Canis lupus familiaris: one gene and its partners. The protein of the gene in region 7 interacts with the protein of the main gene of each other region in a pairwise test. Links are inferred from orthologs where the notes say so. Each region holds a gene or a part of one and is shown on either strand. Other genes may lie near its edges.

Region 1 (4,579 bases), on a different chromosome or scaffold from region 7:
TTGGCTGACAGAACAAATCCCTGCCCTTTCCTGCTTCAAGGGCCCCACTCTCCTTTTCTGCTTTTCTTACACCCTGTCTCTGGGGGTGGGGGGTACATATTTAGGAGGATGTGATTGGGATGCTTAGCCCCTAGGATCTCACCTTGGTTTGGGACGCTCCTCTTCTAGTGGGGAGATACAAAGAGATAATTAGCAAGAGTTCATGGGGGTGGGCCTGATACACCCAGAGGAGGGAACTCCCCTCCAAGCCATAGACCCCAGGAGCAGCTCTGGGGGAGAGGCATGAGTAGGGGGGGAGAAGAGGGAACAAGGGAAATCAGGAAGAGGAGGATCACACGCATCAGATATACATTCAGAACTGGTGTGGGGTCCCCCTCCCACTTCTCTGGGAACCCAGGGCTCCAACCCCCCCAGACCTTCCTCTTACATACCAAAGCTCCTGCTCTTCTGCATTTACACCTAGCACTTCAGGGTGCCCCCAGCCCCTCCCCTCTGGGGACACAAGAATCCAGACGCCCAGGGAGAGCCCTTTCTGCAACTCACACCCCAACCTTTGAATGTATATGAAGGAGAAAAGTGACAGGGTCGGGGACTTAGATGGGGGTGGGGTGGGGGTGTCTGTCCGCAAACATCCAACCCTTCTACAAGAATTCCTCCAGGCTGGGGAAGAAGGCTTGGGTGTCGGTCCCTTTAAGAAGGAAGGGAATGGGTTAAAGCCTCGGCGAGGCCGTTTCCCTTCGTGGACACCAGAGGGCGCGCGAGCTCTCCGGAGCTTAAAGGACCGGGCCTGGGCGGGTTATGCGGGCGCAGGGGTCCTCGCAGGGCTCGGGGCCCGAGGAAATCCGTCTCGGGAAGCGAAGCAGCCGCGGTTACCTCGCTCTGCCACGGGCTCCGGCTCCTCGGCGGCTGGGGAGGAGGAGGCAGGGGGAGAAGCGAGGAGGGGGTAGCGAGGGGGAGCGGCCACGCCGGGGTGCGGGGGGCGGGGGGGGGGGGCAGGGAGGAAAGAAAGGGTAGAGGCTGTTAAAGGACCTGAAGCCGGGGCGGTCGGGAGCCCCGTGCCCGCCGGCCCCGCCACGCCCAGCGCCCCCTCCCCACCCAGCCCCGGCCCCGCGGGGCTGCCTGGGCCGCAGACCTGCGGGTCCAGGCCTCACCTTCCTCCTCCTCCTCCGCAGCCTCCTCTTCTGGAAGGGCAGGGGGCAGAAAAGGCAGGGTTAGAACCCCACAAGAGAGCACGCCCAGGGTGCTGCGACCCCGAGGGTGGCCGCCCCGGGTGGCCGGGGGCGATGGGCGACCCTTGTCCTCGGGCCTCCCGCGCGTGTCCCCAGGCCACCGAGGGCCACCCACTCCCCACTCACCTTCGGGCTGCTCCCTGAGGACACAGGAAGAGGACAGAGAGGCAGGGTTAGCGTGTTGGAGGTGGGAGAGGGTCCCACCTCTCCATACCCCAGCCCTCCCACCAGCACCACTCACTCCTCATACTCCTGCTCCTCGGTGTCCGACATCCTGTGTCACCTAAGGACCAAAGAACATGCGACTGAGGTGGGGTCCCGATGGAGGAGGGGCTGGGGGCCAGAGTCCTGGGTCTGAGGGAGGAGGGAATGGGGGCCTGAAGTCCTGGGTCTGAGGGAGGAGGGAATGGGGGCCTGAAGTCCTGGGTCTGAGGGAGGAGGGCCTGGGGGCCTTGACCCCTGGGTCTGAGGGAGGAGGGGCTGGGGGCCTGGACTCCCCAGTCTCAGGAAGGAGGGGCTGGGAGCCCTGACAGGGAAAGGGCTCTGGGAGGTGTGGGGGGAGCACAGCCCCAAAGCTGCAGCTCCTGCCCCTCCACCACCACAGCTGTCCTCCTTTGTCTTATGACATGTCCATGGGAACCTGATCTGAGTGGAGATTAGGAGAAGGTATTTGGGAAGGGACTGTGGCCTGAAGACAATAGCTGCCCCACCCCCCAAAGGCTATTTTGGGGGGATGTCGTAGATGGTGAAACAGAGGACATTTCCTAAGAAGGGATTCAAGGGGGGAGGCTCCTGGGAGAATTAGTCACGCAGGCTCCCTCTCCACCCCTCCCCCTCCCCCTATCTGGTTATCTTCCCACCTGGCCCCTCCTGGCCCCCTACCCACAGCCTTGAAGGAAGCTGGACTCATCAAGAGCAGTGAAGTCCACACATCTCACCCTGACTCCTACATAGACACCACATCATCTTTGGGATTCCCCCAGGACCAACAGTATCCAGGTTAAGAGCACCCCCAAATCCTGAGACCCACAGATCCTGAGCCCCTCCAACTGATGATGCCCCTAGTTTCTGGGGACAAGCAAGGCCTCATGTCTCCAGATTCTGAGAACCCCATTCTTGAGATTCCAGCGTCTGGGCTGACATCCCCAGATCTTGACGCTCTAGGTCTCGACACCTACATTCTAAAGCCTCAACGTCTTGAGACCCCAAAATCTAGACGCCCAAGCTCAGAGGTACAATTCATGTTGCCCCAAAATTTGGTACCTCCAATCATATGGCTTCAGACCTGGAGACCTCAATTCTCAAATCCCCAGAGTCTGAGGCTCCCAGTCCTGACACCCAGCCCATAAATGTCCAAGCCCAGATATCCCCAATTTCTGAGATTCCCTCTGAGCTCCTAGGTCTGAAGGTGTTATATTCTGGGACACCCCAATCTCGGCACCCCCAGACTCCATAACTCCCAAATCCTAATACCTCTGTCCTCAGGCCTCATAAAGCCTGAACTTCCCAGGAATTCCCAAGCCTTAAGTTTGTACCACCTCCACCTCCGTAGCCACCCCTCCTGTCGTCTCCCCCCCCCCCATCTCCCCCCAGTACGAAGCTCCTGGAGACCATTACCTAAGGCTGAGTCTGCAGAGTCGGTGAGCAAATGGGCAGGGCAGATCTGTTGCTGACCCTGCGAGTGGAAGCACCCCTGGTTTATAGTGGAGTCTCAGCCCCGCCCCCCAGGGGAGAGGGAGGGCCTGAGAATTCCTCTCTCAGACCCAGAGTCCAGCTCAGAGGCTGCCCTGCCCCCGCTCTGGCTGCATATTCAGGATCCTGGCACCTCCTGGGGGTCTAGGGACCCCTTCACCCCATCAGCATGGCCTCGCACCTAGACTGGGTCAGGTGACCTCCAACCTCCGGGCTCCCCACCTCCCTTACAGCACGCTGAACCCGATGCTTTGAAGTCCCTGGGCTTGGCACACAGTAGGTCCTCAGAGAATACTTACTGACAAAAAGAGCACAAGGGGTGCTTCCTCTTATAAGGCTCTTGTCCCAGTTTCTGTGTCTCTTCGGGCCTCTCTGCATCTCTGATACTGTCCATCTCTCCTTTGTCTCTGGGACCCTCCACCTGTGTGTCTCTGTCTCTGTCTCTGTCAACCCCCTCCCACCCCCACCCCTTTGTCTGCCACCAGGATTCCATCCTGGTGACAACAGGCGCTAAAGCCGGGAAGCAGGTGTGGGTCGGGGGAGGGGAGAGGGTGTGGTGTCAGGCCCATGACCTCACACTCCCCCACCTTCATCTGACACTGAGCTGTTGGGTATTCCTGCCCCCCTTACCCTTACCCACAGCCGGCCACGACCTTGAACCCTAAGGGAGCCAGCCACCCCTCCTGCTTCTCAGTGTCTCTGTCTCTCCCTGCCTATCATCTCTGTTTCTCTTTCTGGGCATTTCTCCAGGGGCTGTCTCTCTGGGTCTCTCCGAGTCTGTGTTTTCACTCCCTGTGTCTCCCCATGCATTTTTGTCTCTGCATTTCTGGGGGTGAATCTGTCAATTTCTGTGAATCTGTCTACTGGCATATGAATGTGTGTGACCTCATTTATGTCTTTCTTTGGCTCTGCATCCGTGTCTTCCTCCATGTCTCTGCATTGTCCCTCTTTCAGTCCCTATTTCTGCCTTGTTTGGTGGTCTCTGATGTGCTTTGTGCACATCGGCCTCTCCATTTCCCCTTTCTTTGCAGGTCTTTCTAGGAATCTCTGTCTTTTCTCCCTCTCTGTGGGTCTCTGGCTGTCTCTGTGTGTGTGCATGTCTCTCTCCTTGGACCTCGGTCTGGGCATCTCTGCACACCCTGCGTGTGAGGCATAAGAGCTGGGAACGCCCCCTACTGCAGACCCAGCTCTGCTCCTGCTGTGTGGTGTGGCTTTGGGGGACTCTCCCCTCAGTCTTCTCATCTCCCTCACACCGGACCCCCAGGTAGCAGACTTGCAGCCATTTCTAGCTCAGAGAGAAACTTTATTCCTCAAGGACACCTTCAGGGCCAGGGCAGGGGGCAGCCAGCTCAGCCTTCAAACTTTTTCTTGCGGCCCTCCATTCCACTCAGCGCATCGATGTTCTTACGCCAGTCTCCCACCTCCCGGTTTTCCTGGAGGAATGGGGCCAGGAGTGAGGGCTTCTCTCCCATCTACACTCTCTCAAATAGCCTCCCCCCAATCTTTGGCCCGCTGGGCCACTCTGCTTTGGATGTCCATTTTGAGATCTGCTTCTGGAAGGCTTCTCATCCCCTCAGGCGATCCCATCAAAGTTGCCCCCATGCACATCCTATCTCCCTCATGCACTTCTGGCCTTGCTACTTCCTTTCTCCCTAATG
Region 2 (3,491 bases), on a different chromosome or scaffold from region 7:
GGGCCGCGGGCTGTGGTGAGGGCTGGAGGGCTGAAGCCTTCTCCCGGCTGCCCCGGTCCCCCGAGGCGCGGGCTGGGCCTTCTTCAGCGCCAAGGGAATTGGGGTTTCACCAATCTGGGGTTTCTGACCCCTCTCCTCCCCCAGCCCACACTACATTCCCCTCTCTTGGGTGAGCGTGCCAGGCCCAGCCTGCAGGTCCTGCTTGGCACTCCAGGTCAAGATGCCAGCGTCTCCCCTCCTGTTCCCCTAAATGGGAAGTGGATTCCATGGGCCCATCTCTGGTCTCCCTGGAGTTGGATCCCTCTGGGCCAGTCCCTGTCCCTCAGACCCTGACCAGAGGGGGCCCTAGCCTCCTCTGTGCCCTTCCTGGCTTCCTGGCCCCCACCTTGTCCTAAGGAGAACATGTCTCCTTGTTGGACCAGGCAACCAGGTTGAGACAGGCGTCACAGACAAGCACCTGACCCTCTGCTTCCCACAACCCACCCTGGGCTCCCTGGGTGGTGTGGGTCAAGTGCCTGACCCCAGCCAAGGATTGATTCTGTCTGGATTCAGAACTCAGGTCAGCCTTGGGGCCAGTGACCCCGCTCACACCCTTAGGTACAGCCAAGGACAGTCCTGCTGCCAGCCCCCTCCCAATACTCCATGAGATCATTTAAACAAACCCTGGGTGCCAGCTGGCCCGCCGGGGACTGCCCAGTGCCAGGGCACGGAAAGGGGACTGGAGAGCCAGCCACCCTGTTTACAGCTCCGTCCCTGTCTCCCCTGCCCCCACCACCTAGCATGGAGTGTACCCACCGGCTCTGCCATATTTAGCTCAGATGCAAGGCCTATTCCCAGAAGTGAGCACCGAGGGCCGGACACGGTGGGGTTGGCCCCCATAAGGAAAGAGACAGAAAGTCTGGAACACAATTGAGCGTTTATTGCAGCGCTAACAGAGGATGCTGGGGGCTCCACTCTCCCCTCTGCCCTCTTCACGTCCCCCTCACTCCCGTCTCCTCCAATTCTTCCTAGAGCATTCCAGATCCCCTTACACTCATCCTCATCTTCTCTGAAGCCGGGGCCCGGACCAGGGTCACTCCCCTCAGGGACCACTTGTCCTCCCCGGCATCTTCTGTCCCTTCTCCTAGGGCTGGCGGGCACTTGGCTGTGCTGGTCCCCAGCTCCCTACCCTTCGTGGCCACTGTCTTTGCTCCCCTCCCTTTGGGAACTCAGGGGACCCAGGCATCCTGGCCTCTGGCTCCCTCCTCCCCTAGCCCCCAACTCTGGGCAAACTACAAAGCATCCATGGCCAGCAGCTCCCCTCCATGGTCCTAGCCAGGAAGGGCCCAGCCCGCGGCGGGCGCAGTGGAGCCCAGGTCACCGTCCCTCTCAGCCTCTCTGTGCTTCCTGGGACATGGAGCGGGACAGGGAGCGACGAGGGGCACCGGGCTTGCTGACAGGCACCACAGGGGGCAGCTGCTTGGTGATCTCGGCCACATCCTGGCGCTCCATACACTGGCCACCCAGGGCCGTCTCCAGGGCCAGCAGCTCCCGCAGCTGGATGGGGGTGTCCTCGCGCTCCTCCTTGGCGGCTCCCATCTTGGTGGGGGTGAAGATGGGCAGTGGCAGCACCCGCTGGTAGGGCAGCAGGTACTCCTGCAGCCCGCGGCCGAGGATGCCCATACGCATCACCAACCAGGGGGAACGCTGCACCAGCGCCTGGCACTGGCCCTGCCGGTGGTAGGTCTCATGCCGCTGAGAATCCTCCTCGTGCAGAGAGCAACTGGGGAGGAGACGGGAGGGGACACTGAGCTCCTGAAATCTGCTACCCTCTACTAATGAGCTGGGCAGGGGGCTCCCTGGGACTTCCAGGACCTGGGATACAGAAGGGGTACCCTCTCCTTGTCCCTACCCCCAGAAACTTCTGCAGGGCTTTGTGTTCTGGCCTCCTGAGGCTCAGGAGGGGTGTTCTGGGGGAGAGGGACTCCCAGCCGGCTGGCACTCACCCCTCCTCAGGCCGTGTGGACAGCGTCAGATCCTTCCATTCAGCCCAGAAGGCTTCTCGGCGCTCGCGGTCCTCCTCGGACACCTGGCAGCTCAGCTCTGTAGTGGCCATGATCGGTGCTCACTCCCTCCCGGCTCTGCTCCTCCCAGGCCCTTTAAATAGCCCCCTCCTCCACCTCCTCCAGGGGCTATTTTCAGCCCCTCTGGCGTCAGATGCTATAAGCAGAGCCAAGGCTCACTGATGGGGGACTCTGGGTCCAGGGTGGGGGATTGGGGTACCTGGACTCCAGCTGCCGCCTGGGGTCAGCGGTCAGCTTCTAAAGAGATCAAGATGCTCCAGTGGGGGCAGAGGTCCTCAGAGTGACACCTCCAGGTGTTTGACACTCCTTAGACACTGTCTGAGGCCAGGCACATGCCCAGCCTCGTGCCACCTTGGCACTAGCTCTCTGCCCCGCCCCTTTCCTCTTGCCCAGGGAGGGCAGGGGCCTGTCTGAAAACAGAGCAGACAGTGGCAGGAATCGAGGCCCACTCTGGGCTCTGTACCAGGCCATCGGGTCCTGCCCCCACTGCTCTCCTCTGCCTGGGAACAAGGGCAGAGCCCCTAGCCATGCCCTGCGACAGGAAGGGACAGTATAACCACTCTCAGGTATCTGCAGCGAGACCTGGTCCTCGACTGCCACCACCACACTGGCATGAAATAATGTGGTTAACTCTGCACCGGGACCCTGCACATGAGCCTTTGTCAGCCTTCCCACGGCCAGTGGTCAGAAAAGTGGCTTCCCAGGTCAGGCCAGTCAGGGTGCAAACAGCAAGTGTGGGAGGAGGCCCCCAGCTCTATCCCCAACTCCACCCCAAGGCAGGTGAGATGGGAATCCAGGGGCTCCAAGAAGTGGCAGGGTCAGATCTGGCTCTCGCCCCAAACCAGCTGTAAATAGTCTGGTGACCAAGAAGCCACCTCTGCCTCTCTCTGGGCCTCATTTTCTGCTCACAACAGCCTGAGCGGCTCCACTGTGCCACCTGGGAGGGGCCTGGCTCTTACTCGGGGGAGCAGGGGAGCTTCTGGGAAAGCCCAGCATTCAAGGGAAGCAGCTCATGGTGCAGGGAACTGGCGCACAGGGCGCTGGGCATGGGGGGAGGACAAGTAAGGGCATCACTGAGTGGACACAGCAAAGGGCACCGGAAGAGGCTGTGCAAGAGCTGAGAAGAGGATCCTGCAGAAACAGCAGAGCACCCAGCAGCTGGTAAGCCCCGTGGGTGCTCGCCTGGAGCAGAACTACGTCCTCTTGATTCCTGAAGCACTAGGCCTGATTCTGGTTTTAATCTTCCGACAGCCCTACAACATAACGAGTCTCATTTTTACAAAGCAGGAAACGGAGGCCCAGAGAGGTCGATCCGCCCAGGGTCACATATCTGGGCGGGACCAAGACAGGACCCCTGCCCCACCTTGGCTCTATGCAAGTCTTCCCCCCAGAAGCCGGCTGGCAGGGAGGGGGGCGGGGTAGGGAGGG
Region 3 (4,486 bases), on a different chromosome or scaffold from region 7:
CACACACATCTGTGATGTTGCTGCTGGCTAGGCTATCTACATGGTCCTGCTCCACGCCCCCACCCATCTATATCTCCTCCTCCATTTTTTTCATTCTTTTAAAAAAACAGACTTCATGACAACATGGACTGGCTAAGGGGCTAAGGATGAAGACTATCTCCAACCTCAGGAAAGCTCAGTATTTACTTCTAGAAACAAGAGATGCCCAGGTATTCGGCCAGAGAGCATTTCACGAGAACGCTTGACAGCCCAAGTCTACAAGTTTGTTCAAATACATATCTTAACATCTATCTACGTGTTCCACACTTCTGCACCAATGCATGTGTATGACGCACGCCCGGCCTCTCTGGTGAGGAGTGGGGTCCTGCGTCTCCCTGGGTTTCTTTCAGGCGCTGGGGGCCTTGTGCAGGGGCTGACCAGATATATATTCACTCAGGAGAGGCTAAGCCCATGTGATTCCTTCCAGAAAGGCCAGCCAGAGATCGCCCCCCAACTGAAGCCCATAACTGAGGAAGCTGACTTTGTGAACCTACATCCTCCTCAGGAGGGACACCAGGCAGCCCCAACCCCAGGGGAGATGCAGGACTTCAAGAGCCTCACCTTGAAAGCCAGATGCTCCAGAAAGTAACCTGCCCCATTGTTCTTCTCAGTCTCGTAACGGCTGCCAACATCAATCCACACCCCGACCTGGACAAGAAGCCATCAACAAAGGTAACACACAAACCACCCCAGCCCCCACTTATGCCTAATCCTGGAAGACTCAACAGAAGCCCCAGGTCAGGGCTCACGGTCCCAAGGTTGGGGGAGAGTTGTCTCAGTAGGACCCCATGTGCTTGGAGATACAGCTGTGCCCTGGGCACAGGCAGGGGCTCAAAGACATACCATGTCCCTTCTCCTTCCCACTCTATTTGTAGACTGGTTCCCAAGAAAGCTTCTGTGCACACTCACCTAACCCCATTACCAATATGAAATTCTTATATTGTCTTGCTTTTCAGTTGACTCTTTTTATTTTTTTCTAGGCAATCGACACATTGTTTGCAAACAACAACTTATCTTCTGCTTTCTAAAAATTATACCCTGCCTTTGTTCTGGTAATTTTGTCTTTCACCATTAAGGAAGGCTATTGGTTTATTTATTTATTTTAATTTTTATTTATTTATTCATGAGAGACACAGAGAGGGAGAGGCAGAGACACAGGCAGAAGGAGAAGCAGGCTCCATGTAGGGAGCCCAACGTGGGACTTGATCCCGGGCCTCCAGGATCAGGCCCTGGGCTGAAGGCGGCGCTAAACCGCTGGACCACGGGGGCTGCCCAGGCTATTGGTTTAGACACTGAACATTTTATCTTATTAAGCAAGGAGCCTTCATTCACAATTTTTCTTTTTTTAAGTTTTTAACCAGACTTGGATACTTAACACTGTCAAATGTCTCCTTGGCACCCAATGAGAGAATCTCATCATTACTTCAACAGCCTCCTGGTGTGCTATGAAACACACACCACATCACTCATCCCACACAAGTCACATAGATCTAGTCTTTTAATATTTGCTCACAGCTGATTTAAAATTTTCACATCTACTTTCCTAAGAGATGTTGATAGGCATACAATATAACATAAATTCTTACGCTAACATCTATTTCACAACTAACATCTCAGAAGGAAAACTTAAATCTTACAACCCACGGTAGTCTTTGATTATCATAGGCAGCATTCTTTATATGCCACTGGGACACAGTGGGTGCCCCTTACAATTAGAGCTTCTCAGAGTCCGTGAAATACAGCATTCTCTCACCAACTTTCTAAACAGGCTTTGGATATAAGAGCCACGTAATACAAAAGTTGCCCATGATTTTTTGCTGCATTCAGTAACAACTTAAAGCACATTATTTGTTCCTGGAAAACCGAAGGAATTTACTAATAAGACCACTTATTGGTCTTATTGCACCCTGGCATTTAGAGTGCAGAGAAGAGGATTACATCTTCAGAATCTTCTCATCTATTCATATATCTAACCAAGATTTCTTTTAAGTCAATTTGGGGGATTTGTATTTTTTTGGAAGAAATCAATTTCTTCGGAATTTTCAAATGCATTCCTTATGCAGGCCCGTAAGTAGTCTAGCCAGGAGATTATGACTTTGGGCTGTGACTCTAGCAGTTACCTTATGTCTCTGAAACCCATTTTCCTCATGGTAAAATGAAAACAGGATCACTTCTCTCCTTTGAGGTGCTTAAGAATACGCTGGAAAAAAAAAAAAAACCTGGCCTCTGGCTTGGCAGGCATCATATACTAAATGTGTGCTAGTTATAGTAAGGAATGCCTCCAAGAAGTGGGGCCTAGCTGGGGTCGGGATTAAGGCAGTAGAGTCAATTCAGTGGTGAATAAGGAGTCTGACCCAAACCACAGAGGACTTGAGCCCAAGGTCACACCCTGACCTAGGAAAAGACGCCAGGCGCAGTAGGGAGGCGGCCTCCCGAGGGGAGCCCCGGCTCACCGTGCAGGTAGGCTGGGAGGACTGCTCGGAGGCCACTCGCAGCCCGTTGTCCAGCAGGCTGACCTGTGTCTCTGGCACGCTCTGGAGAGCTTGGGCGAAGGTGGCGGTGCTCCGCAAGGCAGGCGACCTCAGCAGGGACGACTGCTAAAAAGGGACGACCGAGATTGAGGACTCGGTTGCGGGATCTGACCTCGGCTCCCTGGCCAGCAGTGGGATCCCGGTCGCAGCCCCCCCGCCCCGGCCCGCCGCAGGACGCCAATCCCCGCTCAGCGCCGTGACCTTCGCACGGCCCTGACCCCGGAACCTCCCCAACGGTGACCCTGCGCGGCTAAACAGTCCGCTCCCGTCCGCGTGCCGAAGCCCCGCGCTCCGCGGCCTTGTGCTCCCGCTGTCGCCTCACCGAGCGGCGGGTGCGCAGCAGCACCCTCGTCCCGGCGCCCGCCGCCCGGCAAACCGCGGAAGCCGCCATCTTCCAGCTCCAGTCGACGCTAGGTCGCGTCACGCAAGCGTAAAAGGGGACGCGACGGCGTCCGAGGCGCAGGCGCACTGCCGCAGCCGTGGCGCTCGGCCGCCTCCTGGCGGAGAGCAGCTTCTTCACGCGCCGTTGGTCTGTGGTTGTGCCCGCGGCCGGCGGGTGCCCGCGTGCCTCAGCCCACCTGGCTGTGCGTGGCCAGTGCCGGTGCGTCCGCGGTACAGTCCAGCTTCCCCTTTCACTCGTGAGAGTCAAAGTGCCGATGTTCCTCACGCCTCGCGGGCGCCCCGAATCCACTGCGAGCTCGGAGCTGCCGCGCGGGCCGGGGGCGCAGCGGCCGCGTGTCCGGGGATGGGAGCCCCGGGGCCCTAGCAGCGGCGCGGATTGCTGGGACTGTGAGGTAGCTGCTGATCACGGTTTTCTCTCGAAAAGGTTGAAGTAGATTCAGACGGTTGACTTCGAGGGAATTGGAGAAAAAGGAACAGCTTAGAGACTACTTACTTGGGTGGAGAGAACATGGATTCCGTTCGTTGGCGGTTGATGCTGGCACTGTGCATGTGCGCCCAGACGCCCCGGGACAGTAACGTCGAATTCGGAGTCGTCGACCTTGAGCCACAATTCCCAGAGGAACGTGAGAGAGAAGCTGCTGCTCCCCGTTCCCGGCGACGCGCCCACTGCGCACTGTAGAACAGGAAAACTCCTAATCTCGGATTTGTGACATTGCAACTCCTTTCTGAGAAAACAAAACACACACCCACAAACAGAACAAAACAATACGGCTTTTCTCATAGACCACATAGAAAAGAAAAAAATCCGGAGGAACTCACTCGAAACTTTCAGCCGAGGGACTTCTGGAAAAAATGGATTGAAGGGAAGAAAAGGATGCTCACCATAGTTAGATTTCTGTGTTAATACAAAGTTTTTAATTTTTGCAAGACACATGTTACTTTTGAAAGAGCATACCTCTGAACTCTGCTTTTACGTAATTTATATGTGATTTATTCTACTTCTGTCTTTGCGATCTTTAAAAAAAAGTCATACTTAAAATATAACTTTTATAAAAAGCAGACAAAAGGCGCTTAAGTGTGTGTTTATTAATATTTTGTGGTCTAAAATTATGTTATGGGGATCCCTGGGTGGCGCAGCGGTTTGGCGCCTGCCTTTGGCCCAGGCCGTGATCCTGGAGACCAGGGATCGAGTCCCACATGGGGCTCCCTGTATGGAGCCTGCTTCTCCCTCTGCCTGTGCCTCTGCCTCTCTCCTCTCTGTGTATTTTATTTATTTGTTTGTTTGTTTGTTTGTTTTTAGAAGAACTCTTTTTTTTTTAGGATTTTTTAAATTTAATTATTCATGAAAGACACAGAGAGAGAGGGAGAGGCAGAGACATAAGCAGGCTCCATGCAGGTAACCCGACGTGGGACTCGATCCTGGGTCTCCAGTATCAGGCTCTGGGCTGAAGGCGGCGCTAAACCGCTGAGCCACTCGGGCTGCCCTCCTCTCTGTGTATTCTCATGAATAAGTA
Region 4 (4,002 bases), about 2.1 Mb from region 7:
AAAAATATATAATTATATAGAAAATATAAAAATATAAATAAATGTTATCACTTTACTCCCCTGCTCAAAAGCACTATGATAGCTTACCATCACCTTAAAATAAAACCAAAGTTTAGGGACACCTGGGTGGCTCAGCGATTGAGCATCTGCCTTTGGCACAGGGCATGATCCTGGAGTCTTGGGATCAAGTCCCACATGGGCTCCTTGCATGGAGCCTGCTTCTCCCTCTACGTGTATCTCTGCCCTCTCTCTGTGTGCCTCTCATGAATAGAAATAAAATCTTTTTTTTTTAAATTTTTATTTATTTATGATAGTCACAGAGAGAGAGAGAGAGAGGCAGAGACACAGTCAGAGGGAGAAGCAGGCTCCATGCACCGGGAGCCCGATGTGGGATTCGATCCCGGGTCTCCAGGATCGCGCCCTGGGCCAAAGGCAGGCGCCAAACCGCTGCGCCACCCAGGGATCCCTAGAAATAAAATCTTAAAAAAAAATTCTAACCAAAGCTTATCTAAAATATCCTCTTTATTGCCCTTCAACCTCATCACCTATCACTCTCCCATACCCTATTATACTGTGGCTGCCTCCATGCTTCTCTAATTCTTTGAACCCATCAGGCCCATTGCAACTTCAAGGTCTTTGTTCCTTCTTCCTGAAATGTTCCTTCTCCCAGTTCATCATATGGCTAGCTTCTTCAGTTCAAATGCCACCTTTAGAGAGGCCTTCCTTGACCACCCTATCTAAAAGAGTCATCCCTGCTTTCTATGTTACTTGCTTTTTTTATTCCACCAAGCACATAAAAAAAAAAAAAGACTTTACTGTAAAGTTTAAGTGTATTTATATAATGTAGGAATTATAAAGAGGTAATAAGACACAAGTAACAAATCTAGGAACTCACTGACACACAAGCTTATGAGATATTATTATGACTTTTTTTTAAATACACTCTACCCCCAATGTGGGGCTCAAACTCATGACCCCAAGATTAAGAGTCACATGCTCCACCAACTGAGCCAACCAGGCGCCCCATTATCATGACCCTTTTGTATCAGATGATTAGAATATCCTTTTACATTATGCATAGCAGGAAGTACCCAAAGGGTATTCAGACACAGCTGTAAGTGCAAATAATAGTTCTGGAAACCCTAAACTGACAGAATATGAGGCTTGTCTAAAACCAGGTAGCTTTCTCCAATTTTCAGACTCTATCTATATATATGTAACAGAGAGAGAAAGCCTCCTTTCTGGCACCATTTATAAAAGTAAAAATTACCTGTGGAAAAAGTATGACCAGACTTGAGTTCAAAACCTTCTTATGAACTCTGAACAAGTAACTTAACTTGTACGAACCTGTGCTCGCTTCGGCAGCACATAACACTAAAAAAAAAAACAACTTGTACGAACCTTCGTTTCCTAATCTCTAAAATGGGGATAATAATACCCCAGTGTTTTCATGAGGCTAACAGGATCTGCTTACAGTTGTTAGTGTTCAATAATGACCACTGTTGTTAGAATTAGGGCACTTACCTGTTACCTGGAAGGGAGCCTGAATGAGCCGCTGCTGAACTCCCCTGAGTAGCTCCTCTATTTCCTTCTGTATATTGCAGACAACCTCTTCCATCAGCCCTACATCAGCTATTCCTTTCCAGAACATCAAAGTGTCCTCTGACACAAGAGAGATAAGACAGAAGGTAAATAAGAGATGCTACGGTACTTAGGCACATCTCTACAAGTTAAACTTGAAATTATTTTAATCTGAAATGATTTCTTGTTGAGCCATTTCTGGGAAAAAGGAAGAAGCTTTTGGAATACTAGCTGCCCCTCTAAGTTGGTACCCAATTATTTGGCCTCTTCAGCATCATAGGGACTTGAGGTAATTGCCTAAATTTGTCATGGCTTTGGCTACAGGGAGTGGGTTATCTTCCTCCAATAAAGATATTAAATAAGGGCAGCCTGCGTGGTTCAGCGGTTTAGTGCTGCCTTTGGCCTAGGGCCTGATCCTGAAGACCTGGGATCAAGTCTCATGTCGGGTTCCCTGCATGGAGCCTGCTTCTCCCTCTGCCTGTGTCTCTGCCTCTCTCTCTATGTGTGTCTCTCATGAATAAATAAATAAAATCTTTAAAAAATATATTAAATAAATACTAAGTATTATTTATTTAAATCATTTAATTTAAAATTTAATAGTATTTAATATCTTAAAAGTTAAATAATAAATACATTAAGTTAGAGATATACAGGTAAGCCTTGTACAACATAGTGTGAACTGTGAAGGTCCACTTATATACAGATTTTTTTCAATAAATACAGTCTAGTGATGTAAATTTATCTTATGACTTTCTTTTTTCTTTTTTTTTTTTTTTTTAAAGATTTTACTTATTTATTCATGAGAAACACAAAGAGAGAAGCCAGAGACACAGGCAGAGGGAGAAGCAGGCTCCATGCAGGGAACCCGACGTGGGACTCGATCCCAGGTCTCCAGGATCACGCCGGGCTGAAGGCGGCACTAAACCGCTGAGCCACCTGGGCTGCCCATATCTTACGACTTTCTTATTAACATTTTCTTTTCTCTAGTTTAATTTATTGTAAGACTACAGTATATAATACATATAACATACAAAGTATGTTAATCGACTATGTTATCGATAAGGCTTGTACTTAAGTTTTGGGGGGGGCAGGGGGGTCAAGTTACACTCGGATTTTCTTTTTTCCTTTTTTTTTTTTAAGATTTTATTTATTTATTCATGAGAGACACAGAGAGAGAGAGAGAGAGACAGAGACAGAGACATAGGCAGAGGGGGAAGCAGGCTCCATGCAGGGAACCCGATTTGGTGGGACTCAATCCTAGGACCACGGGATCACAACCTGAGCCAAAGGCAGATGCTCAATTGCTGAACCACCCTAGCGTCCCACACTCGGATTTTCAACTGTACAGGAGGTTGGTGCCCCAAACCATCACATTGTTCAAGGATCAACCATACTCTCTCTAGTCTTATACTTACAAGATAAAGTAAAACAGTTGAATAGGTGGGATTATAAGCTCCCTAAGGGCAGAGGCTGTCTTTTCATCTATGTTGACAACAGTGCCAACTAAAAATAGGCAGCAATAAATATTTTTCAAGTGAATTAATGAATGGAGGATAATGTGAAACCTTTCCTGGTCCCCTCTAAGTGAATCATCATGAATCACCATCCTCTACACCACCTGCTACCTAATTTTTTTCTTTTAACATCTTGCAGCTTGGTTTATCTAAGAAATGTTCCAAAGTTGGAGGCAGTTAAACAGGATGAAAAGCACTGACTACAGAGTCAAACAGCTGAATTTGGCTCTGATACTATTGGTTGGGTGACTGGTCTTAGGCAAGCTGCTGAACCGTTTCGAATCTCAATTTTTTTCCTATGTAAAATGTGACTGTGCATGGCTGTTGTGGCATGGATTATAATAAAATGTTTGTAGCTACAATTAAATCAATATGAGAAAAATCAGCAAAAGTAATTAAGAGACCTATTGTGTCCCTAATCATAATGGTGAGAAGAGTAACAAAACCCTGCAAGATATCTGAGCCACATAGAAAAGTACCTGAAATTTCCTCTGAGTCTTTCTTCACACCCTCCTCTGTAGCCATGGTGACAGCAGCAGTGAGAGCGGAGTTCCATTCCAGCCCTGCCTCTTCCATGCTCTCTTCCGAGATGGCAATCTGTGTGATACTACCTAAAAGCAGTCCATCAGAGGTAAAGCCAGTGAATTTCATGAAAAAGTCATAGCGATCCTTTTTCTCATACAGCTAAAGAGACCCTATTATTTTAACATTCTGGCCTTCTTGCCTTGAGGTCCATATAGTAAAAACTAGAATCTTTGGTAAGCCAGGACGAATATCGGATTTTCTAAAGAAAACCTTCTTTCAAAAGAAAATGCTTTCTTCTTACTCTTAATAGAAAGTGAAAGATAACTTATAAAATCACAAAAGAGCAATCTGCTTCCTGAGCAAGCGTTTTTTTTAAAAAAAA
Region 5 (3,644 bases), on a different chromosome or scaffold from region 7:
GGGGAACTCACCAGATGCCGCGGGCGTCGGGCCAGTCTCGGGCCATGCCTGAGGCCAGCAGCAGTGGGGACACGGGTTTGTCGAACAGGAAGTGATCGTCGATGAGCTGCTGCTGCTCCTGCTCGGTCATGCTCTTCAGAGGGTAGTATTTCCCCTTGAACTCGCCTGTCAGGCTGTTGAGGGCTGAGGGGCCATATAAGGCAGTGGTCAGCAACCTGCTCCACCACAACCTGGGCGTGGAGGCCTGGGGACCCCAACCTGCTGCCCACACAAGCCTGGGGCATGCTCCCGTGGATGTCCTAATGGCTCCTGAACACTAGGATGAAACCCAAATTTGCGACCTCTCCCAGGCTTTGGGAGCAGCCAAGACATGTGCTCAGCCAGGAAACATGGATTTGCCCTTTCCCTGACCTTCACATCCTATCCACCTATGACCAGCAGTGTGCTGGAGCCCCTCCGACTGGCTGGAAGACAGACAATCAAAATCTTAGGATTTTGGGGAGCCAACAGGAAAAACTATTATAAAATAGCATTTATAGTATTTGTATATATCCATATGTAGAATAAATGTTTACTATGTATATATGCACAATATACAATATGTATTTATATACATGTTATACATTTTAATATAGTGTAGTATATAATGTTATGTATCACATATTATATACTATATTTTTAAAGATAATTTATTGGGGCACCTAGGTAGCTCAGTGGTTGAGCATCTGCCTTTGGCTTAGGTCATGATCCCAGGGTCCTGGGATCGAGTCCTGCATCGGGCTCCCCGCAGGGAGCCTGCTTCTCCCTCTGCCTGTGTCTGCCTTTCTCTCTGTGTCTCTCATGAATAAATAAATAAAATCTTAAAGAATAAAGTACAATAAAAATAATTTATCTGGGGCCGCTTGGCTGGCTCAGTCAGTAGAGCATGTGACTCCCAATGTTGGGCACGAAGCCTACTTTAAAAAATTATATAAACTTATAATAAAATAAATTATTTTATAAACACAGGTAATAAGGGGTGCCTGGGTGACTCAGTTGGTTAAGCATCCAACTCTTGATTTCAGCTCAGGTTGATCTCAGAGTTGTGAGATCAAGCCCCCAAGTCAGGTTCTCTGCACTGGGAGTGAAGCCTGTTTAAGATTCTCTCTCTCAAAAAAAAAAAAAAAAAAAAAAAAAAGGCAGCCCGGGTGGCTTAGCAGTTTGGTGCCGCCTTCAGCCCAGGGTGTGATCCTGCTGTAGACCAGGGATCGAGTCCCACGTTGGGCTCCCTGCATGGAGCCTGCTTCTTCCTCTGCCTGTGTCTCTGCCTCTCTCTCTCTCTCTCTCTCTCTCTCTCTGTCTCATTAATAAATAAAGTCTTTAAAAAAAAAAAGATGCTCTCTCTCCCTCTGTCCGTTTTCTCTATCTCTCTTTCTCTTTCTCTCTCTCAAAAATAAATAAATAAAAATAAAACATAAATAAAGTCAAAACACTGCCATAGGTTATAAATATCCAAAATTATCACTTCCTAATTATTTTACTACATCTTTATTATCTATGTTCTTGAAGCTTTTTTCATCTCTATCCCTTTGGTGGGAATAGTATGTAATGATGTGTATCTTTTCCCATCTCTCTATGATATCATGTTCATAGTTTAAAGTTGGCTGTGGCAGGAGAATTTATACCATGGAAACTGGCAGTCGCTACAAATTGGGGCTTTTTTTTTCTTCTTAAGAGCTGGTTGTTAGATGTTTACTAGAACAAACATGCTTGCGAGTCCTGATGATCCTACCTCCCAAATATATCGCTCATTCTCTCCATCCCTTTGCCTATCCCTCACCCCACGCCTGCACCATTGTGGTTGCCCCTTACAGCCTCTCTGCTCCTACCTTTGCCCACAGTCTGTTCCCTATTCAACAGCCAGGAAACTGCCCATGTAAGTCTGAACTTACTCCAGTCACCATCCTCCCATGGCTTTCATCTGTTCAGAGTCAAAGCCAAAGCCCCCCTGATGGCCCACAAGGCTCTGCACAAGCAGGCCACCCATACTCCTCTGACTGCATCTCCTCCCCTGGTCTGCTCAGCTCTGGCCACACTGGTCTCCTTGCTCTTCCTCCAACACACTTCCCCACCTCAGGACCTTTGCACTTGCTGCTCCACCTGCCTGGAAATCTTCAGGCTCCTTTTTGTCAATCAACTCCTCCTTTCTCAGGGAGCTCCCCCCAGCCATTCTATGATGCACCCTTGTTTCTCGGCTACACGGCATTTTGGAATTAATCATTCTTTTGCTGGTTTCTGTGTTTCTTCTTATCTCCCCACCAGGCTGACAGCTCTGTGAAAACAGTGACCTTGTCCATCTTATTCATCATGGGAGCCCCGGCCCCCTACTCAGGACCATGACAACCGTAAACGCTGGTTAGCTGGCTGGCTGGCTGGTTGGATGGATGGATGGATGGAGGTCAGGACCCTGGTGCAATTGAAAGTCTGCATGGATCTGCTCAGGGTTCCTTGACAGCGCCCCCAGACTTCCAGCAGGGGTAATGCTGCCAGCTGTCACTCATCAAGCACCCACGATTTACCCAGTGGTGGGCAGGGTGGGGTTCTCACCTTCTATGGAGAGTTTCTCCACTGCCCGGCGCTCGCCCCGGGAGCAGTGGGGGGGCAGTGTGTAGCCCTTGATGCTACGGCCCGTGCGGACGCGGCTGCTGAGCACATAGTTGGGGTCTAGGTCGTCTCCACCCTGGAGGGCAGGAGGGGGGTCAGGGCTGGGCACGGCCCCCACAAGCCGCCCCTCCACTGCAAGCCCATGTCCTCCCTGGCCCCCCCACCCAGGGCTCCCAGTTCTGACTCTGCTACTTCCTTCGGCTCCTCCTTGCCCACTGGCTTCTCCCACCACCACCCTGGCTCGGCCTCTCCCTTCTCGGCCTCTCCCTCCCTATTTCTCCCAGCCTCTCATCTGCCCCTTTCCTCCATACATCTCTTTTCCCCCGTCCCATTTTTGTCCCGCGTCCGGTTTCTCTTCATCTCTTCCCTGTCTCTCCTCCCATCTGAGTCTCCCCCGCTGTGTCCTGGTCTCCCTGTCTGTCCTGCATGCCTCTCTGTCCCTCCTGCCCTCCATCTCTGCCTCTTGGAGCATCCCTTCCCACCTCCGTCATCCTCCCTCTCTTCCCCATCCCTCCCCTCCCCTGTGGGCAGCTGACCTTGAGGTTCTCATGGTTGAGGTCAGTCTTGTGCTTGTCGGTGGGTTTGTAACCCCCATGCCGGTCCTGGATGATGGGGTCGAAGAGATCCTTGAACACCTGGTAGGACTCCTCGTCACCGGCCACACAGCCCACGGTCATGATGAAAGGGTGACCTGGGGATTTGGGGTAAGGTCAGAGGCGCTTGTGCCCAGCAAGGAAGACCCAGGCTCCTTGGTCCTATAGAAACTGTATGTGCACATGCACACATGTGTGAGTGCGTGTGTGTGTGCGTGTGTGGTCAGCAGGGGTTTATTCGAGACCTGAGTCGGAGCTGCAGAGACTGAAGGTTGTGAGTATGGGGAGGGAAGGCTGGGAAAGGTCCAGGTGGCATCTGGGCAAAGGAGAAAGAGTCTCCGGGGGTCAGTTACAAGGTCCTAAAAATATTACTACTTGAGAGCCCCCAGATCACGGACTCTTTCTTCC
Region 6 (4,625 bases), on a different chromosome or scaffold from region 7:
GAAGACTGTTTGGTCTGGCTAGAATAGCTGGAGGTTTCCGGTCCGGGAGGCTGCAGTCTGGAGCCACATGGATTTTGGGATTGAATGAAGTGTTTTGGACGTTCGTAGTTAAACATGCTTAGCTGATATATGGAAGATGAAGGCAATTTATTACTGTAATAATTTGCTCCTGGAAGGGTGGGGTCCTTAATTTGGGATGGCAAGCCTGGAATCACAGACGGTCCCAAGGAATCAGAAGCAGTCTTGGTCTGCCCCTCGTTGAGATCTTGGGAATATTGTGTTCCTGTCTTTGATGGAGTAGACTTCTCTTGAAGAATATTGTTCCTTCAAAAGGCAAAAAAAAAAAAAAAAAAAAAAAAAAGATTCAGTTAAAATATTTTCATAAAAAACTATTGTTTGTTTTACATCTTTAGGAGCGTATACAGCTTGTTTTTTTTTTTTTTTTTTCTTATATGCTTTCAAGGTCACCTCAAGGTGGAACTTCCCTGGCTTCTAGGCCTCTTCCTTTAGCTCTCTGTCTTTGTACAAATGACTTTTCTCCTGAGAACAAGAAGAAATGATTTATTAATATTTGTTTGCCTCTGGGTAATTCTTAAAGCATGCCCAGTGACTTTCAAGATAAAGGAGTGGGAAGTTTGAGTTTGCCAAGTGGTTGGTTACTTACGGAAAGAAGTTCTGTGATGTTGCTCAGTGTGATAATTTTATGGTTTTAAGATTAACTTTTGCCCAGAAGATTCAGTTTTATTAACCACAGAGATTTAATGATTTAAATTATTAGCTGTTAAATATCTAACATGTCAACTCCCATTCAGTCTGTATTTTTCCTGTTGCTCATGAAGACCAATGAAAGCTCTTCTGATACATCAGTTAATTAATGTCCTGGTGATCTGTGATGAATGATGTCCTGGTAAATCAAGGGGAACAGTAAGCTTTTTTATAAAGAACATGAGCGTCTGCATTTACTCCTTCATCCTTTTAGAATTTCATAAAGTAGAAGGAACATGTATAAATCATTGTTGTCAACTTGGAGTGTAATCTTTTTTTTTTTTTTTTTTTTTTACCTTTCAATGTACTGCCTCTTTTTCTTTCCTTGATTCCAAATTGACCATAGTGCCAAACTAAATGATAATTAAGGAATCTGTGTCTTTCTTTGTGTATGTATGTATGTCTATTCCAGAGCATTATATAAATTCTTGTTATTTTTAGATTATCTAGTTATTGCTGTCAATATTCTTAGTTTGCTTTCTATTTTTTCATATTTCATGTGTATTTTAGACTAATTCTGAAATTGTTTCAGCTTCTCTTTTACTTTTTTTCCCAAAATGGCAGACAAGGATGTATAGAAGGATGTAAGGCAGTATGAAGCTAGTTATGCCTTACCAGAAAGGATGGGTGCTATTTCTCTGACTTAATTCTGCATTGGTTCTTCTGACTTCCTATGATCCCCATTTTTCCTTAGATGAATCTTTTGCCCCTAAAATCAACCTTGAAGGATTATATTTGTCTCTGATTTCTTCCATTATTATGGTAAGTCTAAGCGGAACTATATGTAGACATTACACACACAGACTAACCCTATGAATTGTGGCGTTAATTCTGTCTCTAATCAAAATATCAGGTAATTTAGTTCAAAATACATTTAATTTTACATAGTATAAGCCAACTCTGAGATAATGATAAATTAAACTTTTAATTGATAAAGCTAACCTGTCATCATCAAAATGAAATCTTAAAGTTGTTTAATTTCCTATCTTGAAGAACGTATCATTTTTAATGAACAAAATTCAGACCAAATAGCTTTATCCTAAGGCTATGCATGTAGTTTAGAGTTAAATTAAAACTAGCAGTTTTAGGAAAGAACAAATGTGACTTAACAGCGAAGAGGAAGATTCTGTTGAAAAAGAACACTTAAAAATCCATATATTCCTTAATTTCAAGTTTATGAACACAAACATGTTCAATTAGAGTGCATTTTAGTAATTAACTATATTAGGCCTTTAAATTGTTGGAGGAAAACATCCAGAAGGAGGCTTTAATTAGATCTTCTCAAAAAAGGGCTCTATTTCAAGGCAGTAGTTTTATAGTTATGGGCTTATTCATTGCATTGCAGAATCAAATTCAAATTTGGTTCTTAAATTCCTTTTTAGGAAGGCAAATCATTCAGATTCATTTCATATAGCAAGTAATAAACTGTTTAACAAATAGCCAGTAGATATTTTCCAAATGTTCCCTGTTTTTTTTTTAATATATGTTTTTAGAATATCAACTATCTTGTACATTTTGGTATCAGCCAGCATAGTTAACAATTACTGTTATTTTCAAAGCTCAATTGAAAATATGTTCTTTCAAAAGTTTCATTGTTCCCATGTTTCAACAAAATTTTATGCAGTTGCTCAAATAGATAACTCTGAGAAGCTTTTCTTCATATTTGTAGTCACTGTCCAGACTTAATTCTATAATAGATTCTTTTACACAACAGTATCATTTTATTCCAAATAATCGTAAATACATTTCAAAGATTTTATAAGTAAAATACTATGCAGTTTCCTATTTAAAAATCTTAACTTTTTCTTTCTAATATAGTTCAGACTTGCACAAAAACTGATTGAGGGTATTTCCCAGGACATCAATTACAGTCAGACCAAGTATCCCAGAAAAAATGATTTAAAAATACTAACACATGACCATCTTTCCTTGTACCTTTTCTATAATGCCTTCCAGTTTCAGTGTAATGAGTAAGTTACTTTCTCCTCACATTTCTGTATAACAACATGATGTTGTGACTTTCAAACATCTTATGTGAAAATCATCTTTGTGCACATTCCTCTGATTTGGACAGAAACACAAAAACAAAACCCAAAACTGTAGCAGAAATAAAGATGGGACTTACCCGTCGTTCCAGAGGGTGCCAGCTGGGTTTAACCCACTACTGAAGGGAAGGAAGAGGCAACCCCTTCCCTCACAGACTAATCTAGTGGCTCTGTGCTTAGTATTATAGCGCCACTGACTTTTATCAGCTGCCAAACAGTGACATCTGATGTGCTTGCCTGTCCATCTACCTATGCTGGCATGTCAAAGTAAGAGTCCACAATCTAAACAATATCTCAGATGTCTCAGTGATATTTAAGGAGTGGGATTACATGAGCTTCTCTTGCAGGCCTCTTTATTTTAGATGCGAATTTTGACTGTGAGCTTTAGCAAGCTCATGCAGGAGGAAGAGCAAAGAGTTGGGAAGTGGAAAAAAGTCTAAAGAAACTCAAGTTTCTTTATTGTGATGAGGGCTTGGAATCTTTCCTATTTAAGAAAGGACTAAAGGGGAGACTGTATTCCAAGACTGATGTTCTATCTAGTAAAAAATTTTCCAGAAACAAGACAGGGATTGATGGGTTCCAAACTGATTTGTATTGGGTAGTTGTTCTTCTGAAGGCTCCCCACCCCCCTTGCCAAATAGAAGTAGGGGTGGAGCAAAGTCCAAGCAGTTTGTTTCAAGAGACAGGGTGTGGTCTTGGCAAAGCAAGAGAGCATGGTGATGGTGATGTATCACTGGGAAGGTGGTGAAGTGGAAAAACATGATTTGGTTTCTTAGCAAGTTTTCTGAATCTGTATGGCATATGCCTCTATGACCTTGTTCTTTTGTTCTTCAAGAGTTTTGAAACACGTAAGAAATTACCAGACCAAAAAAAAAAAAAAAAAGAAAGAAAGAAATTACCAGACAAATAAGCATTCTGTAAATTTAGGGCTTTATATTGTCAACTCTTTCCCTCATCTCCCTTAACTCTTAGCAGTTAAACAATTTCCTTTCTCTTTTAACTGAGGAGACTGTCTTGGTATTTTGGTTTCCATTTTTGTTAGGGAACTAAATAATTACAGAGGAAGAAACTTTCAGATCAACAACAGAAGTAGTAAAGAGGGGTAGGTGGCATGAGTATCAGATCAGTTGAGTGGAATTATCACCATTTAGTGTTTTCAATTTTGGTATGTTTCTTCTGTTTAAAGCATATCTATTTATTAACTTCCTTAATGGGTGCTCCAGTATTGATTTAATTACCATGTACATTAAGGTCCAATTGATGTTTGAGCGCTTATGAGCCATATAAAATTCTTCACAGCTGACCATGTAGGTGTATCTTCTTTTGGTGTTCAGAGAAAGTTTGATAATTGCTTCCTGGGCACACAGCCATTACTTAGTGGAAAAGGCACACTAGACTGGACGAGTAGGTGTTTGCCTACCAAGTCTTATTTCAGGAATTTCCCAAAATATTTCTCTACATCTGTTTACTGATATTTCAGATTCCATTAATAGGGACAAAGTGTTTTAATCCAAATTAAGGAGACTTAAAATGTAAGTGCAAGTGACAATCAAAGTAGCAAGAATAACCAACAAGTAATAGCATTTACTATGAGTAGGGCTTTGATGTAAGCACTTTAAGTATGGTATATGTGACTGATACTTGGTTCAGAATGGTATGGAAGAGGGGATACTAGATTTGAGGTATCTTAGTACCTAAAAGTTTAAGTTGTTATGCTACCAGGTGAGTAGGGAAGATGCCCAGGACAAACTATGAAGTCCCTAACTTTGCCTAGGGCAGATTCTAAACATACTATAGTTGAGGAATTTTAGTTCC
Region 7 (4,002 bases):
CTCCGAGAGGTGAAATCACTTGCCCAAGGTCACAAAATGAGTGAGCAGCAGAACAGTCTGGATTTAAACCCAGATGCTGATGCCCGGGCTTCAGGAGAATGGGCATCTGGCATGGCAGTGGGCACAGGCACCAGACCCTCAGGATCTTAGCTCATCTCTGCAGCTACTGCCATTCCAGAGCTCCCTCCCGGGGGGGTAGAGACAGGTGGCAAAGGAAGACTCCTGCCAGCATGGGGAGGGGGGGGCCCTGCGATAAAAGATGAAAAAGAGATAAGTCTGAAAAGGGACTTATTTAAAAACCTGGGGAGATAATAATGTCTGGGGTGTGGCCAGTTGTGCAAGGCTATTCAGAGGTGAGGCATTGACATAGACAAGGGACAGTCACCATTTGACATTTGTGAGATGCTTGCTGTTTTAGGGACTGGGAAAGCAGAGTGGGAAAGCAGAGGTGATGTAGACATGGTGTTGGCTCTTAATGATATGTCTAGATGAAGGGGTAGGACTTAGACACAAAAAACTGAGCCTCAGATAGGAAGCAACTGATGCCCTGCGAGAAGCATAGATAACATGCCAGAGGCCCCTAAGTAGAGAACCAGACCGAGGGAGAAAAGCATTCTAAGAATGTGTGTTTGGGAAGGAAAAAACTCTGAATGCTGGAAAGACTTTCTGGACTTTAAGTCAAGGCTTGAGCTGAACTGTTACTCATCCTTGGGCTGCCTGTGTTCTGGTTGTGTGACTTGGGGCACACACATTTCTTCCCTCTCTGTGCCTGGGGGCACCCTCATGGTGTGCTTACTGGTATAGTCTCTCCACCTGTATTGAATAACCACCTCCTCCATGACACACACTGTACACTGCAAATTCAGAGGTGCCGGGAGCAGGCAAGTTTCCCTGCTTTGATGCGGTTACAGTCTGATGGATTAAATATAGAATTAAGTGAGGCCATGAGTATAAATTGCTTTGCTCAAAGTTAGCCTGCAGTAACCAGGAGTTACAGGGACTATAATTAGAGCAAATGCACTCTTGCCTCCCCTGCCCTGACTTGATGGGTGACCTTGGACAAGTCAGTTCACCTTTCTGGGGTTCAGTTTCTTCTTCTCAAAAATATCTCCAGTTCTGGGATTCTACAACCTTTCCCATGTTCATCACTGGAGTTTGAGTCCAAGGATATGAGGATAGCCTTGGTGTCACTGGCTTTCCTGGTTCTGGGTATCCAGAAAATGAAAAGGACTGTGTACAGCCAGTCACTGAGGGCTCAGGCCATAGATCTGGAGTTGCCACCCAGAGCTGGGGTGGGGGGAGACAGGGACTCGGGACCCCCCCCCCCCACTGTGTGACTTGTGATTCTTCTGCAGTCGGCCCCTGCAGAAGGGCAGCCACCCCATGTGCAAGGAGCATGAAGACGAGAAAATCAACATCTATTGCCTCACGTGTGAGATGCCCACGTGCTCCATGTGCAAGGTGTTTGGGGCTCACAAGGCCTGTGAGGTGGCCCCCCTGCAGAGCGTCTTCCAGGGACAAAAGGTACTGGCTTATACCACTTCTACCCCCAGCCTGGGCTTGTGGGGCATGGCCAGATGATTCAGGATGTAGATTTGATCCCTGTAGATCTGCTGAGCCGGCCTTTCAGGAATAGTCCCTCTGGAGGGACTTCCCAGGCCACAGGGACAGCAGCCCTTGCCTTCCTGGGGGAGGTGGCTGAGCTCATGGGTTATACTTAGAGCCACTTGAGAGCACCTGGGTGTGGCCACAGGCGAGAGACCAGACCCCTGGGCCAGGCCACCAGGGTCCTCTCAGGCCATGACTTCTACATCCCAGTGTGCTTGGGGCCCCAGATACCTCTTCCTGTGCTGGTTACCTCTCCTGTAGCAGAAAAAGTAGCTCAGAGCCCTCTCCCTGGCCCTGAGGCCTGTGGGAGTCCATAATCCTGCCCATGCAGTAAGCTATGGCCCCTCTTTCTGGACACTTCTTCCCTGCCTCCCACTCTTCTCTTGACCTCTCTCTTCTAGAACTCTCTATTTCTTTTTTGTATCTCTTCGTTCCTAAAAACAAACCCCTCCTCTGACAGTACATTGCTGTTTGTATTTTGGTCATTTCCCCTTTCTGGGCCTCATTTGTAAAATAAGGGATGTAGTATCTCTAGAGATGTAGGCTTTTTCTAGCAGAGAGGGGAGTGAGGGTGCCATTCCTGAGAAGACAGGCCCTGGGACTATTTCATCTCTCTTCTCCTTTTTTTTTTTTTTTTTTTCATCTCTCTTCTCCTGATCCCTCACCCCCTCTCCCATCTAGACGGAGCTGAGTAACTGTATCTCCATGCTGGTAGCGGGGAATGACCGGATGCAGACCATCATCACTCAGCTGGAGGACTCCTGTCGAGTGACCAAGGTGAGGGGGAGAAGAGTTCTGTCTAGGGGTCCAAGGCCTCTCAGTGAAGCCTGGTTCTCTGGGGTGAAGGCTCCGCTGTGAGCTGTGGCTAATGGTTGGGGCCTGGAGGCTGGGGTGTTCAAGCAGGGGTGGTGGAGTGGAAACCAACTAATCTATTCATCCACTCACTCACCAAATGCTTCTGGAACACAGCTGTGTGTCGGGCCCTGCCAAAGACGCTGGGGCTGGAGTGGTGAACAAGACAGACCAATCCCTGACTTTAGGAAGCATGCCAGCAATAATTCTCAGTATTTATTCAGCACAAGTAGTTTTCAGACCACTGTCTTCAGTGTGTTGTAGACTAAAGCTTCTCAAACTTTAAAATGCGTTCAGATCCCCCTGAGATCCTGTGAAAATTCAAATTCTTATTCAGTAGATCTGGAGGGAGGTATGAGGTTCTGCATTTCTTTCTAATGAACTCCCAGGCTTTACCCAACTTGTTGGTCCACGGACCACACCATGCAAGACTACATAGAGGCAGAAGGAAACTTTTCTATCTCTGAAAAAGAATCCATGATTTTTCATTTCCACTTGAGGTGGGGCCTAGAGATGAGGTGGGGGGGAAAGGGTCATCAGACTCCTGATGAACGAAGAGCTGTGTGAAGGATGGCTTTGAAGGAAGGAGGGGACTACTCATGAGATGCTCCCAGGCTGATAGAGGATACTAGAGCCTCCAGTCTGGTGAGATATATTATTATACCTATTTTGTAGGTATAGCATCTGTGTTGGAGAGAAGGGAGCCTCAGTGAGGAGGCCACTAGAGGAGTCGCTGCTTCTCCTTTCTTACTAGAACCAACTAGAGCCTCCTGAATCCAGTCTTGATCCTAAAATAGGGGCCAGGGGTATGTGTGGTGGGGGGTGACTTGGGAGGCCACAGAAGGCCCAGACTGGATCATCCCATCTGATCCTGGAGTCTCTATTTTTGAGGAAAGGGCTAGCTTTCTCCACGGCACTAGCCTCCAAACGTTACTGGTATGCTAAGTAGCTACGAGACCTCAGCAAATCCTTTCTTTTTGCCAAGACTTCATTTTGTCTTCTGTAAAATGGGGGTGTAGCAAGATCTCTTCCAGCTTCAGACTTGTTATTCCTAGCACATCCATCCCAGGAAAAATGTGCCAGGGAGAGGAAGACTCCCTAGGGTGTGACTCTGAGATTTCTGTCCCCAGGAGAACAGTCACCACGTGAAGGAAGAGCTGAGTCAGAAGTTTGACGTACTGTATGCTATCCTGGACGAGAAGAAGAGTGAGCTGCTGCAGCGGATCACGCGGGAGCAGGAGGATAAGCTCAGCTTCATTGAGGGCCTCATCCAGCAGTACCGGGAGCAGCTGGACAAGTCCACTAAGCTGGTGGAGACGGCCATCCAGTCCCTGGATGAGCCTGGTGGGGCCATCTTCCTTTTGGTGAGCAACTAGCAGGGTGTGGACAGTCACTTGGCCTTACCAGCTCTGACTAAGATGCATGTCAGGCACCCATGTGCCCCCCAAGCCAAACCATTTAAAGCTCTCAGTGTCAACGTCCTCAATGACCTCAAATGGCCACGCAACGATTTCTACCTTCTTTCCTCTTCACTGATTTTGT

The links.
Region 1: the proteins of TRIM63 (region 7) and TNNT1 interact in a two-hybrid assay, tested with the Homo sapiens proteins (2 studies listed by BioGRID and IntAct). The link is inferred for Canis lupus familiaris from reciprocal best matches to the Homo sapiens genes TRIM63 and TNNT1.
Region 2: the proteins of TRIM63 (region 7) and TCAP interact in a two-hybrid assay, tested with the Homo sapiens proteins (3 studies listed by BioGRID and IntAct). The link is inferred for Canis lupus familiaris from reciprocal best matches to the Homo sapiens genes TRIM63 and TCAP.
Region 3: the proteins of TRIM63 (region 7) and UQCRC1 interact in a two-hybrid assay, tested with the Homo sapiens proteins (2 studies listed by BioGRID and IntAct). The link is inferred for Canis lupus familiaris from reciprocal best matches to the Homo sapiens genes TRIM63 and UQCRC1.
Region 4: the proteins of TRIM63 (region 7) and GMEB1 interact in a two-hybrid assay, tested with the Homo sapiens proteins (2 studies listed by BioGRID and IntAct). The link is inferred for Canis lupus familiaris from reciprocal best matches to the Homo sapiens genes TRIM63 and GMEB1.
Region 5: the proteins of TRIM63 (region 7) and CKM interact in a two-hybrid assay, tested with the Homo sapiens proteins (2 studies listed by BioGRID). The link is inferred for Canis lupus familiaris from reciprocal best matches to the Homo sapiens genes TRIM63 and CKM.
Region 6: the proteins of TRIM63 (region 7) and MYOT interact in a two-hybrid assay, tested with the Homo sapiens proteins (2 studies listed by BioGRID). The link is inferred for Canis lupus familiaris from reciprocal best matches to the Homo sapiens genes TRIM63 and MYOT.

The regions. Positions count from the first base shown.
Region 1 is NC_049222.1:103,244,068-103,248,646, reverse strand, and holds the start of TNNT1 (troponin T, slow skeletal muscle), read right to left. Parts: upstream 2,911-4,579; 5' UTR 2,847-2,910; intron 2,229-2,846; exon of another isoform or gene 2,118-2,228; intron 1,540-2,117; exon of another isoform or gene 1,513-1,539; 5' UTR 1,503-1,512; coding exon 1,471-1,502; exon of another isoform or gene 1,370-1,470; coding exon 1,356-1,369; exon of another isoform or gene 1,182-1,355; coding exon 1,152-1,181; intron 907-1,151; coding exon 874-906; intron 165-873; coding exon 143-164; intron 1-142. Other genes in the region: TNNI3 (troponin I, cardiac muscle), read right to left, coding at 4,271-4,354. UniProt on the Homo sapiens protein: Troponin T is the tropomyosin-binding subunit of troponin, the thin filament regulatory complex which confers calcium-sensitivity to striated muscle actomyosin ATPase activity.
Region 2 is NC_049230.1:22,763,276-22,766,766, forward strand, and holds TCAP (telethonin), read right to left. Parts: upstream 2,099-3,491; 5' UTR 2,096-2,098; coding exon 1,986-2,095; intron 1,763-1,985; coding exon 1,369-1,762; 3' UTR 910-1,368; downstream 1-909. UniProt on the Homo sapiens protein: Muscle assembly regulating factor. Mediates the antiparallel assembly of titin (TTN) molecules at the sarcomeric Z-disk.
Region 3 is NC_049241.1:40,914,826-40,919,311, reverse strand, and holds the start of UQCRC1 (cytochrome b-c1 complex subunit 1, mitochondrial), read right to left. Parts: upstream 3,048-4,486; 5' UTR 2,962-3,047; coding exon 2,893-2,961; intron 2,637-2,892; coding exon 2,493-2,636; intron 688-2,492; coding exon 601-687; intron 1-600. UniProt on the Homo sapiens protein: Component of the ubiquinol-cytochrome c oxidoreductase, a multisubunit transmembrane complex that is part of the mitochondrial electron transport chain which drives oxidative phosphorylation.
Region 4 is NC_049223.1:71,208,397-71,212,398, forward strand, and holds part of GMEB1 (glucocorticoid modulatory element-binding protein 1), read right to left. Parts: intron 3,707-4,002; coding exon 3,575-3,706; intron 1,663-3,574; coding exon 1,525-1,662; intron 1-1,524. UniProt on the Homo sapiens protein: Trans-acting factor that binds to glucocorticoid modulatory elements (GME) present in the TAT (tyrosine aminotransferase) promoter and increases sensitivity to low concentrations of glucocorticoids. Also binds to the transferrin receptor promoter.
Region 5 is NC_049222.1:110,923,167-110,926,810, reverse strand, and holds part of CKM (creatine kinase M-type), read right to left. Parts: intron 3,335-3,644; coding exon 3,180-3,334; intron 2,720-3,179; coding exon 2,587-2,719; intron 184-2,586; coding exon 12-183; intron 1-11. UniProt on the Homo sapiens protein: Reversibly catalyzes the transfer of phosphate between ATP and various phosphogens (e.g. creatine phosphate).
Region 6 is NC_049232.1:25,616,543-25,621,167, reverse strand, and holds the start of MYOT (myotilin), read right to left. Parts: upstream 3,046-4,625; 5' UTR 2,891-3,045; intron 541-2,890; exon of another isoform or gene 469-540; intron 325-468; 5' UTR 117-324; coding exon 1-116. UniProt on the Homo sapiens protein: Component of a complex of multiple actin cross-linking proteins. Involved in the control of myofibril assembly and stability at the Z lines in muscle cells.
Region 7 is NC_049223.1:73,297,312-73,301,313, forward strand, and holds part of TRIM63 (E3 ubiquitin-protein ligase TRIM63), read left to right. Parts: intron 1-1,355; coding exon 1,356-1,524; intron 1,525-2,289; coding exon 2,290-2,385; intron 2,386-3,590; coding exon 3,591-3,824; intron 3,825-4,002. UniProt on the Homo sapiens protein: E3 ubiquitin ligase. Mediates the ubiquitination and subsequent proteasomal degradation of CKM, GMEB1 and HIBADH.